Linked DNA regions of Pelodiscus sinensis. The protein of the gene in region 1 purifies or fractionates together with the protein of each later gene. This does not show direct contact. Links are inferred from orthologs where the notes say so. Each region holds a gene or a part of one and is shown on either strand. Other genes may lie near its edges.

Evidence for each region. Proteins that work in one complex are often made in the same cells at the same time.
Region 2: the proteins of GAN (region 1) and NUDCD3 purify together in Homo sapiens (co-immunoprecipitation; 3 studies listed by BioGRID and IntAct, counting the BioPlex papers as one, with this or other methods). This does not show direct contact. The link is inferred for Pelodiscus sinensis from reciprocal best matches to the Homo sapiens genes GAN and NUDCD3.

The regions. Positions count from the first base shown.
Region 1 is NC_134722.1:11,332,141-11,339,487, forward strand, and holds the start of GAN (gigaxonin), read right to left. Parts: upstream 3,001-7,347; 5' UTR 2,879-3,000; coding exon 2,712-2,878; intron 1-2,711. UniProt on the Homo sapiens protein: Probable cytoskeletal component that directly or indirectly plays an important role in neurofilament architecture.
Region 2 is NC_134738.1:4,746,232-4,753,196, reverse strand, and holds the start of NUDCD3 (nudC domain-containing protein 3), read left to right. Parts: upstream 1-3,958; 5' UTR 3,959-4,065; coding exon 4,066-4,263; intron 4,264-6,965.

The sequences.
Region 1 (7,347 bases):
AAGGAATCTTTTAAACGAACAATGAAGCAGGACAATGACTAGCTCGCAAGCTCTAGACTAGTCAAACTGTCTTATGAATTTACAAAAGGCACATAACTAATTCTAGAGCACTGACTTTGCTGAGGGCATCTGACAGATAATGCATCCAGCATTTATAAAGATGAAATTACTTATCACGTGTGCATAGTTTTGAGAACAAACCATACTGAAACAGTGTCTTTTACTTTCATAATCTCCGTGCCCCTCAATATTAACTTTAGTTTTCTTGGCTTGTTGGTCTGAATCAGTGGTTTTCAAATGTTTTTCCTCTTGACCCAGCTGAAGAAAATTGATGTCTGTGACCCAACATAATTTGACTAAAATGTTGGGTCCAAGGTGGTGCTGAGCAGGAGAGCTTCAGCTTTGAGGGTGGGTCAGGGCTGGGGCATGAGGGGCTTATCTTGAGCAACTCCCGGTCAGCGATGCATCAAGGGTGCTAAAGCAATAGGCAGGCTTCCTGCCTGTCCTGACACCTCAGGCCATGCACCCCAGAAACAGCCAGCAGCAGGTTCTAGCCAATGGGAGTGCAGAATCAGTGTTCAAGGTAGAAGCAGAGCATAGTGCCCAGTATATGCTCTTCTGCCTCCCCATCCCTCCAGGAGGCAGGCCTGATGCTGGTCCTTTCTGGGGCACAACACAGTCTGCAGTGTCAAGACAGACAGGAAACCTGCCTTAGTTAGTTAGTTAATGTCTAATTTGCCCGCTGGCGTGTAGGGCAGCAATGAAGGTTCTCCATTTTTTTCTGTCGTTGGCCATTTTCTCCAGTGTGCCCCAGTTGTAATTCATTCTCTTCATGTCTGCCTCAACAGTACGCCACCACGTTGTCTTGGGCCTCCCATGTTTTCGTCATCTTCAGGCGTCCAGTGAAGTGCTATCTTTACAATGGCGTCTGCCTCCCTTCTGATCACATGTCCTACCCATCTCCAGCATCTTCTCATAATGATAGTGGTCATGTTCTCCTGGTGGCATCGCAGGAGCAGGTTGTGGTTGGAAATTGTTTTTGGCCAAAAGATGCGAAGTATCTTACAAAGGCTGGTGGTGTAAAAGGAGCAGAGCTTGGCATGGTCGCACTCTGAGCCATATAGTAGTGTTGATATGACAGTTCTGGTATAGCTTAAGCTTGATGTGGACACTGTACTATGTAGCTCTCTATACATTGTTCATACTCCTGAGGACGTTTCTGGCCTTACTTAGTCTACTCTGGATGTTGTTCTTGGTGCCTCCATCATGGCAGATGCTGCTGCCTAAGCAGATAAAGCGGTCTGTGCCGAGTACGTCTGCATCATCTATCTAACCTGCCTTGGCAGCCCCACTAATCACCCCGCAGCAACAAGGCCCAGAGATCCAGTACTGGGTCACGCCCTATCATGTGAAAACCACTGGTTTAAATCATGCCCTTAATATTGCTTAAGTAGTTTGGAAGACACAAAACGAGTGAGGTACTATCGTTCAGTGGACCAATTTCTGTTGGTAGGCGAGGCAAGATCTCCAGTTCACACACAGATCTACTTCAGGTTTGGGAAATGTATTCAGAGTGTTAAGTAGTTTGTGACATTTTCTGTTTAACAAATAACCTCATGACAAGGACATGAGTTGACAGAATATAACTGTTCCTCCAAAGGCATTTTAGACCATTCTACAAACACTTCGCTACATAATTCTCATCAGCTTGAATTGCAGAGTTGGTCAAGTAAACCTTTTTTTTTTTTTTAAACGAACTGTATTTTTGTGTGTTTTAATTACTAGACTGCAGCAGCTCTCTCTTTGGAAAGGTAAGAAAAACACACTCAGGAAAGTATTAAACGCCTTCAATTTCACTGACAGCATATCTATACAGCGGATTGTGAACCTTCCATCTCAGCCTTTTACAACAGATCTCCAAAACATCAAGGGGTAAAGAGAGGTCCTCAAAAACACGAGGGCTGTGTCTAGACTGGCAAGTTTTTCCACAAAAGCAGCTGCTTTTGCAGAAAAACTTGCCAGCTGTCCACGCTGGCCGCTTGAATTTCCGCAAGAACACTGACTTCCTACTGTCTGAAATCAGTGCTTCTTGTGGAAATACTATACTGCTCCCGTTTGGGCAAAAGGGCCAGTGTAGCCAGCTCAGATTTGTTTTGTGCAAAAAAGCCCTGATGGCAAAAATGGCCATCGGGGCTTTTTTGCGCAAAAGCGCGTCTAGATCGGCACGGACGCTTTTCCGCAAAAAATGCTTTTGCGGAAAAGCGTCCGTGCCAATCTAGACGCTCTTTTCCACCAATGCTTTGAACGGAAAACTTTTCCCTTCAAAGCACTAGCGGAAAATCATGCCAGTCTAGACGCAGCCGGGCTGCTTTGGTTTTGAGGTCTATGACCACATGGGCGCAGCAGCCAACCTACTTATTTCTGCTTGGATAATGTCAACAAACTCCGTGCACAAAGTCCCTCCACCCCCCCCCCGAAACGGCCCCAAAATAACCCTCTCCCCCCAGCCTTTGCCCGGCGATGGGCCAGGCACTCGAGTAACCAACCTCGGGACACAAACCCGACCCAGTCAGGCGCCCTGGATCAATGCGGAGGGAGAGGACTGGCAGGCCCCGCAGGCTGAACGGCCGCGGAGGAGGGAGCGGGGCCTGCGAGGGGTTAGCCCCGGGACCGCCCCTCTCCCGCCTGAGGCGAGCCCCGGCCCCGCGCACCTGATGTAGGGGCTGGCGGCCGCCAGGATGTTCTTCTGCACCGGGATCTCCTCGCCCTCCAGCACCAGGTGCGCGTCGCAGAAGCGGCTCTCCTCGCGGAAGGAGCTGAGGGCCCGCAGCAGGCGGGCCGCGTGCTGGGGGTCGTTCACCGCGCTGGGGCCCGACATGCCGCCGCCGCCCGGAGCCACCGCGGCGTCCGAACTCCCGCTCTCGCCGCACCGGCACCGCCGCTCCCGGCCCGGCGGCTCGCGGCTGACATCATCTCCTCGCGCGGCCCGGCCCCGCCTGGCGGGGAGGCGGAGCCCGCTGCCCGCCTCCGGGCCTGGCTCCCCCGAGCTGGCCCCGCCCTGTGGCGAGCGAGCCGGGCCGCCCCTCAGCCTCTGGTCTGCGCCCAGGGCCTGTGGAGCTGGAGCTAGTGTGGCCGTGCCCCCTAATTCCCACTGTCCTCTGGCAGGAGCCCTGCCTCTGCTCCCACACGGGAAGGGAAGCAAGTCCCCAGGCTGGGAGCAGGGAGGGAAAGGACTGGGGGACTATCCCATAAGCAAATGCTGATCCCATAGTCCAGGCATGTCCAAAGTCCGGCCCGCGGGCCAATTGCGGCCCGTGTTCCGGTTTAATACGGCCCCCCAGGTAATTTGGCAATATCTATCTTTTATGGCCCCCAACGAATCCATATGTATTGAGATGAACACATTGTAAAATCTCAGTTCATGTCCGTTGGTCTAAATCAGTTATAAATATATTTGGACACAACACGGATACTTGGTGTTATGTTCCTGTTCATATTTTTTAAACTTAAAAGTTGACAGACAACCTTTATTACCAATAATATGTAATGTCCTTTACAATGTTCCTGACATATATTTCAGCTTCTTGGATTTTTTTTTTCATCTGGCCTTCAGATATGAAAGGCAGAGTGATTTAACACCTGTTTAGATTTGTCATCCATGTGACGAAATGAAAAGTATGCCGTTTGCAATAAATTTTGCATAAAATAGTTAATTTGCATTTAATTTTAATGGTTCAAAGAATGTCAGGCAAAATGGTCGGCCCTCACGCATGTTCACTTAATCAAATCTGGCCCTCTTTGAAAAAAGTTTGGACACCCCTGCTTAGTCAGTCGACTAGGCGCTTCCCCCACCCTAGCTGCCTGTATCAGAGAGGGGCAACAAGGGGGGAGGGAAAAGGAGGGGAAACTTCAAAGCCGCAGCCCTGCTTGGAGCCTGGGGTCAGACCCCCGGGGTCCGCATGGTGCTGCTGCTTTGACACACCACAGGCAGCCCAGGACCAGCTGGGGTGTCCCCATGCAGTTCCAAAGTGGCAGCACTGCATGGAGCCTGGGGTCAGCAGGAGTCTCCGGTTGACCCCTGGCTCCACCTGGTGCTTTTGCCTCTGAAGGGAAGCAACAGCGCTAGGGCGTTTGCTACTCTTCAAAGGCAGAAGTGCCCTGTCGACTAATTGAATAGTCAATGCAAAATGCACCCGCTGTTCGATTCGCTACGGACTGACCTGCCTTACAAGCCTCTGCTGTGAGCAGGTCTGAATTCATGTACCTGGTTGTTAGTCATGTGACTTTTCGGATGTTTGTCCAGGCCAAGGCACCCTGCACCCAAATTGGAGACATGTTTATTTTGGAAGAGTTAGGGGAGAAACATCATCCCTTCTACTTTTTTGACATTAGCCATGGGACAGGACTGGATGCAAAGCATTACTCATATGGGCTTGGTCTAAATTGAAATTGGTACTTGTTTAACCAAAGGTGCGATGTTGACTGATGGAAGAGACCATCGCACCAAATTGTTGCCCCAATTTAAAGTTTGTGTTGGAAGAGTGGGATATAGATGACTATTTCAAACACAGTGAGGAGGCTGCAGTTTGAACTAGGTTGAGTCCATGGATCGGCATCACTGTTGTCACCCCCTTACTTGGTCCCAAGGTGATAGAGGCATACAGACCTGGCATTAGCCACTGTTAGCGGACAGGATACTGGGCTGGATGGACTTTTGGTCTGACCCAGTATGGCCATTCTTAGGCTATGTCTATACTGCTTCCTTCTTGCACAAAAGCCTATGCAAATGAAGCACAGATTAGCATCTTGCCGTGCTTCATTTGCATAATTAATTAGGGGATGGTTTTGCTCAAGAGGCTGTTATGCAAAAAGGAGTTGAGTAGATGGCTGAAAACATGAGGAAGAACGGCTTTTGTGCAAGAGGGGGTTTTTCCACAAAAAGGAGCCATCTATACAGCTTCATTTTGCACAAAAGCCTCTTGCACAAAAACAGCCCCTAATTAATTATGGAAATGAAGTGTGGCAATATGCTAATCTGCGCTTCATTTGCATAGACTTTTTCACAAGGGAGCAGTATAGATGTAGCCTTATGTTCTTATGATGGAGCTGGTACTGAGGACTCTGAACAGTTCAAAAAGGCTGTAGTGCTTAAGTTTGAATTGACATCTAAGGCTCACAGGAAAAGGTTTTTGGGTCTGCAAAAGACCTTGGCTACATCTATACTGCAGGCTTTTTGCACAACAACGGCAGTTCTTGCACAAAAACTTGCAGATCACATACACTGCATGCATGTTCTTGCGCAAGTAAATTTACAGGAAAGCGTCGGAAAAGAGGGCTTCTTGCACAAGAGTTACTCCTCTCTCCACGAGGGATAAGCCCTCTTGTGCAAGAAGGCAGAGTGAATGGGCAACAGGGGTTTCTTGCGCAAGAAACCCCTATGGCTAAAATGGCCATCAGAGCTTTCTTGCGCAACAGAGCGTCCTCACTGCCTTGGCCCTCCTCAGTCCCTGGAAGGTAAGTGGGAGGAAGTGATGGCAGGATCCCATTCCAGTTTCAAAACAACAGGTTTTGGGATGGCAAAAGAGCAGCGGGGTGCGTAAAGACTTCCATGTGCACTCTGCTAGTGTCATCTATCAGGCACGTCCTGAGGGGAAGATGGAGGACCCCAAGGACTAAACAATTAACACCTAACAATGGAGCATGTGAACCCATTGTGGTCCTGCAGAAGGCCAATGGGCTGAAAGGCAGTGGATGGCTGAGATAACAGCAGCTCTCCCCGGGAATGACAAAGAGCAAGAGAGAGAGAGAGAGAAATGGATTGCATAGCCGCTTGGCGGGGTGGAAGTTGGCCAGGATGAACTATGTATTGACTTGTGCTCAAGAGCGGTTCTGGAGGGAGGAGGTTGCTTGAGCTATAGCTACCCCAACATTTGCCTTGCTCCCCCTGTCACTGCCACATAGCAGCTGTTGCTCTCCAGCTTTCCAACAGAGGGGAGAGAGTCAGCATGGCTGCTGTTCTGGTGCCCAGCTCCAGCAACAGTGAAGAAGTAAGCCTGGCCAGGAAGCCCCCAGTGCATATCCCCATCCACCTGATTATGCTGTCAAGGGTAGATGGAAGGCCTTGGGCTGGACTGACCTGCTCCTTCTTGGGCTCTGTTCCTAGGGTTGCTGCTCCCCAAGGGCTCTGCTGATCCAGGAGCTAGCTGCACCTGCCTGAGCAGCTCTTACTGGCTGTGAGCAGCCACCACCCAGTACTGCCAGGCTTTGGTTTCGACCTGGGCAGGGGGTAGGAGGCAGGGCAACAGGGTGGGTGGGGACTAGTAACGAGGGGGGCCATAACTCCCCCAGTTTTCTGTCACTTCTGCCTCAACCCCTGCCTCCCACGGGAAGAGGCTGCTACCGCTCCAGCCTGTGCTTCTCATTGCTAACCCAAGGACTTTTTGCCTGATGCCACTTGCTGAGGTGCATTGGTCCCTGAAGAGTATAGAAGTCCCTGGCCAGAAGTCTGTTTCCACTGGGCTTTTTGGCAGAGCTCACAGCATGAAACAGATACTCAGTCTCGGCAGCATAAGGAAGAGAGTGTGAGACCCCTGGGTGTGCACTGAAAGGTTCCTCCACCAGACTGTTTAAAAGCAATAGCATAGCACAGATCCTACGGATCTGCAACTTACCAACACTTAACTGCTAAAAATCTAATCCTTTCACATCTTTATAGCAGTATAGCTTATTCCCCTTACGGGAATACATTATACCAGTTACAAGCACTTTTATACTGGTTAAACTGCCTCCCCAATAGGGGCAGTTATACCACTTCAACCATACCAGTACAGTTAACCTGGTACAAGTTTTGTGTATAGACATGGCCTTACATTGGCTTAACTTGCCCCAGAGCAATATCACATCTCTAGTTAAAGCATCCCATAGGACACATATACTATCAGTAATAGAATGTGGAGTTTGAAAGATATGCACCCAGCGCTTCTGTGTTCTTCCAAAAAAGTTCCATGACCAACTGTTGTATATGGCTGTACAGGGGCGTCTCTGCCGGCCCCGTTTCGGGGTCCTCTGCCCACACCCCGCGTGGGCTTGGTTCCCACTCGGTGTTTAGTCTTCCCGCTTTCACGGGGGTGAATTCGGGCGGTCGGCCGTGCCTTATGTCGCCGCACGGCCGGCCCCTAGCTCAAACGTTTCTCCCCCTCTTGGGAGGGGGAGGGAGAGGGGGGCCCGGGCCCGCCCTCACTCACGGGCCCCAGCCCAGGGCCCTAAGGACACGGAGATATTTAGCTCCGGTCCGGCTGACGGGGCTCCATGCCGAAACGCGTCAGCCCGCCAGCTGCAATGAGCTCT
Region 2 (6,965 bases), on another chromosome or scaffold:
TGTGTGTGTGTGTTCTGGGGTGTGTGTGTGTTCTGGGGTGTGTGTGTGTGTGTGTGTGTTTTCTGTCAAATTCCTGCTACGAGATAACAGAATGTGTGGGACCCTCACCCTCATCTTGAGGCTCAGGAGTGCAGGCCTTCCCCAGCGCAGCCCCAAAACCACCTGGCCTTCCCTGCAGCTGTTGCTAGGTTGCATTGCAAGCAGACGGTCATCAGCTTTACACATTTCTCAGCTGTTCCTGTTCCCAGTGGCAGCTTCCTAATGCAGTGGTCCCCAGTGTGGTGCCTGCCAGCGCCATGGCGCCCGCCGGGCCATTTCTGTGCTCCCACTGAATGATCGGGGCTGGCCCCTAGCCATTGGCGGCGTCGGCCCCGGGCGTGCAGCACATGGGCGGCCCCACCACCGGGCACGCGGCGCATGGGGCTGCCGGCTCCTGGGCGTGTGGCACAGGCGCCAGCTCCGGGCATGCAGCACATGGATGGTGATGGCCCAGCCCCCAGGCGCGCGGGACATGGGCTGTTCTGGCCCCGGGCGTGCAGCGTATGGGAGGCCCCACCCCTGGGCGTGCAGCACAGTTGCGGCGCCAGCCCCGGGAGAGTGGCGCATGGGTGGCGCCAGCTCCAGGCATGCAGCGTATGGATGGCCTCGCCTCAAGGCCCGTGCGCGGCCCCGCCCCCGGCTGCCCGGCATGTGACCAGCCCTGCCCCTGGGCGCCCGGCAGCCCCAAAAGGTTGGGGACCATTGGAATGCATCCCTTGGTTCCGGAGCCCCCTTCCTCCATGCCAGGGGGGTGGGCATCTCCCAGTTGCATTTCTCCCAGAAGAATCACACGTTTCACCCCACTGGGCTTGCCTGGCATTGTTTAAGATCGACTGGCTAACTCGTCCTAGAACTAGTGTAGACAGGCACCTTCTATTGGAACGGTAGCTGGTCCTGTTAAACCTTACATTGACCAGGGAACACGTCACTAAACACCTGCTCTAGGGCTATGTCTAGACTACGGAGTTTTTCTGGGATACCAAAGGGAGCCAGGGAATGCGTCTGCTCTTCCGACATTTTTTGCGGAAGAGCAGATGCGCTCTTTCGGAAGCCCTGTATTCCTCATGTTATGAGGAAGAAGGGCTCTTCCGAAAGAGGAGGTTTTTCCGACATTTGGCCCTGTGTAGAGGGGCGACATTTCGGAAAAGCCTCTTCCGAAAAACCAACTGGAAAAAGGTGCGCAAATGTGGAGCGCAATGTGCGAAACTTTTTCCGAAAAAAGTGGCAGTCTAGATGTAGCCTAGGACTCCTACACGTTAACAAACGTTAAAACCAGACCTTTCTCCTGGGGCACCTATGGCCTGAGGCTCGGCTCAGCTGACGCATAAAGCTAACACTGTCTCTGCTCGTTTTAAGAAATGCTGGCTCACAGGTTTTCAGTATAAACTTCTTTTACCCGTGCTGAGCTCAGAATGCCTCTGCTAGACATGCTGTCAGGGTAAGGCTGGTCAGCCAAGTTCTCTCAATGGCCCAAGCCTGACAGCTCGCAAGCTAACGCCGTCAGAAACCACAGCGCACGTCGGACATGCGACAGTGTCCCATGCTGGGACAAGATGCGTTCCAGTGCAACGGGGGTGCCCCGAGGCCAGTTTGGAGACACAGGCTCACAGGTGTGGGGACATGGAACCCCAATCCACAGAAGCCTTGAAGCTTGGGCTTTGCTGTCGGTTGTCACCTCCTGTGACGGCGCGTTGGGGTCCCCTGTCTCCTGCACCCCGAAATGGCACAAACAGACTCCACCAGCCAGTAGAATTGAGGGTGGTTTATTGCTCCTCCAGGATACAGCACAGATGTAATCTGGTTACAGGAACTGGGGGCTAAGAGGCCTCAGTGCCCCCCTTGAGATAGGGGAATCCCAGCCCTCTCCCCAGTTCCTTCTCCCCTGCTTTCCAGCCAGGAACTCACTCACTCTCCTCCAGCCCTGCCCCCCAGCCAGGGCAGCATTCCACCTTCCTTTGTTCCTCTCCATGGGGGTCAGCTGGCCAAACCAGTTGGGATACCCTCTTTGCATAGTGACTCATTACTTGTCTGCTCGGTGGTGCTACAGACAGCAGCCAGAGAGTTAGCAGGTTATCCCCCACTACGTCACACCTCCCCACACAAAACCATCCACGAATGGTATCAATGCGCTGCCAGGCTCCTCTCCAGGCCGCTCACAAAGGAACCAGCGAAGGCCAGGCCTGGTCAGATGCTCTGGTTTGCAGAGCTCCAGTTCACAGCAGTTGCTGTGCCTGGCAGGAGCAAGGTCTCACAGGCTCCCGTTCACATGCTTTAGTCCAGCCCCACCCAAAGCCACCCACTAGGTTTTGTTTAGCTTCTCAGGTTTGAGTCTATGAAACACAGGTGGACCCAGCTGGCCAGGTCAGATTTACCGTCAGAAAGGTGAGTTCCCTTAGCGCTTGGCAGCCCATGGGGCTTGCAAGCGATGCCGTTGGGTGAAAAGCCCCAGTGTGTAACACCCTTTTGCTCCCAGGCACAGTCATGCTCCAGCTTCTGGCAGCGTTCACTGCCCGTGTCTCGTGTGCCCCTCCCTCCGCCTGGACAGAGGCTAGAGGGTGCCACAGAACAGCATCTGCACCAACAGCAGCGCAGTGCTCTTGGGGCTGGGTTTCTCACGCGGCAAGGGGAGCACAGTGCCGAAGAGCCAGAGGAATGTGATGGGCTCCAGTAGGGTATGAGGAAGCCCAGCAGATGCAGGGGTGGGTGCCGAAAGGGAGGGGGGATCAGAGGTGGGAGGCCGAGGAAGGGAGAGGGTAAGAGACCTTGCTCCCTCTTCCTGTAGTATTTTTAAACTTGCCTGTGACAAGAAACTCAAAACCAGCTGGGTTGGCTCATCAGAAAATCACAAGGCCATGGCAAGATAGCCAGCCTGCAATGCCAGGGTGCACTCCAACGTTCTCCAGCTTCAAAGAGTTGAGGTAAGGGCAGTGGGGAACACAAGGCCCTGAGAGGCATCTGTATCTGCCACCTGGGTTGTCGTCTCTTTAGACCTTTTAAAGGGCTTGAGGAAGAGGGGTCCACATGGCCCCTATGACTGGGCAGGTCAAGCTCTAAGGCTAGAGAAGTCCTCCCAGAAGGCTAGAGTGGCTGTGGAGGAACCAGCCAATCAGGAGCCAGGAGGGTCTATATAAGAGGAGCTGGTGGACTAGAGGCAGATCAGTTGCAGCCTAGAAGAGAGGAGGTTGTGGTGGGCTAGTGGAACAAACGGGACCAGCTCCCTGTGGAGACTGATGGACCTGATGTCTGGTCCTCAACCTCTAGGGAAGCCCATTGGCCTCCCCCAGCTGCACCAAACCAGCCCCCTTACAATGCCCATCCCCAATCCGGTCCCTTTACTATGTCCTAGGGTTGCCCGGTGTCCTGTTTCCGCCCGGACTGTCCGTTCTACCGGACGTGTGAAATGTCCAGTATTTCCTGTTTCCCTCGGACGGAAGCCGGCGGGGACCGTTTCCCCTGCTGCGTCTGGCGGGGCGGGGGCGTGCGGGACCATTTAAAGGCACAGCGCCTTTTTTTTTTTTTTTGCTTAACAACTTTGGTCTCCCCCTTTCTTTTTTCTCAACGGAATTTTTTCCCGTTTTTTGGGGGATGGGGTGGGGGGGGTTCGGTATTTTTTGTTAAACCATCTGGCAACCCTACTATGCCCTGCCCCCGCCCCCAATCCTGCCCCCTTACTATACCCTGCCCCCCTCTTTACTACGCCCCGCCCCTAGCCCCTCAATCCCCGCCCCCTCTCGGGCAGGGAATCCCGGGAACCCCGCCCCCATTCTGCATCACATGACAAAATGGCGTCTGAATCCGTCACGTGATGCTGCGACGCTCTAGCTCCCTACCTCCTCCTTCTGGCCCGCCGCAGCGTCTCCATGGCAACGGCCCCTCTTTTACGGCCTCGGTTTCCGGCCGGAGCGTTGAGCCGCGCGGGACGAGCGGAAGTAGCCGGGGCCGTTGCGGGCCCGGGCCGGAAGTGCCTGTCGGGAGGTTGCCCTGGCAGCGGGAGAGTCCCGGCCTGAGGAGCCTCCCCCGGCCGCCATGGACCTGGCCGCGGCCATGACCGACACGTACGACCAGGCGCTGCTGGGCATCCTGCAGCACGTGGGCAACGTGCAGGGCTTCCTGCGGGTCCTCTTCGGCTTCCTCTACCGCAAGACCGACTTCTACCGCCTGCTGCGGCCGCCGCGGGGCCGCCTGGGCTTCCCGCCCGGCGCGGCGCAGGCCATGGCCCTCCAGGTAGCCCGCGCGGCGCGTGGGGGGGAGGCGGGTGGTGCGCATCCGCGCGGCCCTCCGGGCAAAACTTATTCCGCACGCGGCTGAGAGTGGTTAGCCGGGGGGAGCTGCAGCGGCCTGCAGGCTGGAGCAGCCCCTCTGCACGGTGGGGAGAGGCCGAGGGGGCACTTCCGACTGGAGCGCCTGCCCCTGTGCCCTCTCGAACGGCTTAGCCAGTTCGTTAACTCTGGAACCTACTGACGACGCGACATGGGTTAAAACGAGCGGTTTCACCGATGGGTTGGATACCGAGGTCCAGCCGAAATGCTTTATCCCAGCCCCGCACCCTGTTGCGAGTGCTCAGTCATCTCCATCCCGGCTGGCAGAACCTCCAGCTTCCCCGTGACAGCTTCTCCAAACTGGTTCTGCATTGTTAGCCCGGGAGTAGCTGGGAGACCTGAAAGGGTGGGGACAGCATTGCATTCATTACTCCCTCACACCAGAATTGAAGTGGGCCAGCATTGATCCTTGTCGGCTTCCTTCACGGAGGATCATGCTGTTACTGTTCATGACACTGTCCCCTGAGGTCTTTGGGGGCTGGATCAGGCCCTCATCAGTTGTTCGACTGATGTATGATGGCATTCTTGTACCAGGGTCTGAGTGGGGCCAACTGTGTTACACGATTGGCTTGCATGTGGCCAGTAACTCCTTAGCTAAGGGTGGAGTTACTGTCTTTTTTTTATTTTTTCAAGCTCCTAGAAATGTTTGCTATGCCACAACCAAGTAAAGACCCAGGCTTTGCTCTGAGGAATGGGTGTAGCATAACAAAGTGAGCAGTATAAACACCCTCTCCTCTTTCCTTTACGCTCCTTCCCCTTTGGGTAAGATTGTGAGGTTGATCAGGTCACAGCTGCTTGTTTAATTCCTTTTGTTACTTGTTGGCTGCCTTACTCTCCTGTCATGTCTCAGAGATTGCACATCAAAGATGAGGTTTCTGGAGGAATTGGAATGAGGGGAGAAAGGTGTCCTGGCATATATATCAGTGAAGAAGAGATAAAGGGTGCCAAGGCATAATCTCCACTCTGGCATGATAAATGCAGTAGGTCTGCAAAAGTACCCAAAAAGTACCTTATCTTTCCAGGCTCTGGTATAAAGCTTCCCCCAAAAATCTTAGAAACCTAGATTTTGGGGATAAAAATCCGATTCCACCACTCAAGTAATGATAAGAAAGCCAGAGGAGAGATCACTTGGGAAATCTCAGCCCTATCGTAAAACCAGGACATAAAAATTAACCAATACCAGGTTAATAAAAAGGAAAGAGAGCTTTTATCTTCACCACAATACTCCTGATATAAGCATAATCATTAGATAAGTCACCAATTAATATACTCACGGGGGATTCCACCATGGGCCAAAACTTAGTTATAAAGTAGAGGAAAACCCATTTTTAAATGCACAGACATCAGATTCCTATTCCCAAACCATAAAACAATAAAACCTAACGGATTTATAGATAGTGAAGATTCTTTTTTTGGAGAGAGACATTTTGTCTGCCCCCCCTTAGTAGCTGGAGAGAAACTGCTCTGGGACAAAGGAGGGAAAAACCAAAAATTCCTTTGTCCCCGTTTGAAATTTCTACCTACATTTCTGTTGGCTGCCTGCTACCTGGTTAAGTAAGTGATATAGTTAACTCTTTAGTCCCCAGGCTGCTGGCTAAACCTCATGGTCATGACAGATGGTAAGAGCAGATGAGCTGAGGGTGTATGAAGGAGCACTGCAGAGATGCAGGAAAGGGCAGCATGATGTAAGAGGACGGGAACTTTGTGGAGCACAATGCAGTGGGGAGTCAGTGGATGACACATGGTGGGCAACTTCGTGAGAGGAATGGGTGTGAGAGCGAACTTTGACAGCAATGGTTTGAACATCATGGAGGGAATACGGTTGGTGCTAAAATGCCTGACAGGAAGTGATTGCAGTAGCCAAGGCAAAAGGAGCAGTCTGTGACAACGACAGAGAAGAAGGGGGTGGTTGAGAGACTGCAGCGTGACCTTAGCTTGGCCAAGAGGGTTGGGCTGAAGACCTCTCCTCCAAGTTTCTGTTTCTAAGCTTTGCTTTTCACTCAGAGCTTCTCAGCCTCTCGTTCTGGGTTGAAGCACACACTGTTGGCCTCAGCCTGTTGGCTCTGCGGGCCCATGCTGCTGGACACATTGAGATAAGACTTTCTTTGGAATGCTTACAACTCAAAAATGGTCCAGTGGGTGATGTGTGTATGGGAGATGGGAAGTCCTGGTTAGTTTTTACAGTTTAGTTCCGCGAGGGGTAAGCAAGACTAGTGAGTGGGCCACATAAACGGCCCTCCTTTGTCTTGGAATGATTGCCAGTGGTGGGCAACCTATTCCCCCTGTGGCTTGTTCACCCTCACTCTGCCCCCTCCTTCCACACCTCACGCACTGGAGCCCCACAAAACCTACTCTTCCCCTCCCTCCCAGCTCTTTCAAAGTGCCATGAATCTGCTGGTTCTTTCTCATCCCTGCTTCTGCTCTGCCTCCTTCCCAGAGCATGAACCCCACAGATCAGCTAGTCTCTCTTAGGCCTTAGGCAAGCAGCATAGAATCGACTTGCAGAGAAGAGCAGAAATGGATTTGTGCCTTATTCCTGCGTTGTGATGGACAAAGGCAGCCTGGAATTTATCTTTTTTCTTTGTTTTTAACTTTGAAGTGTTGCCT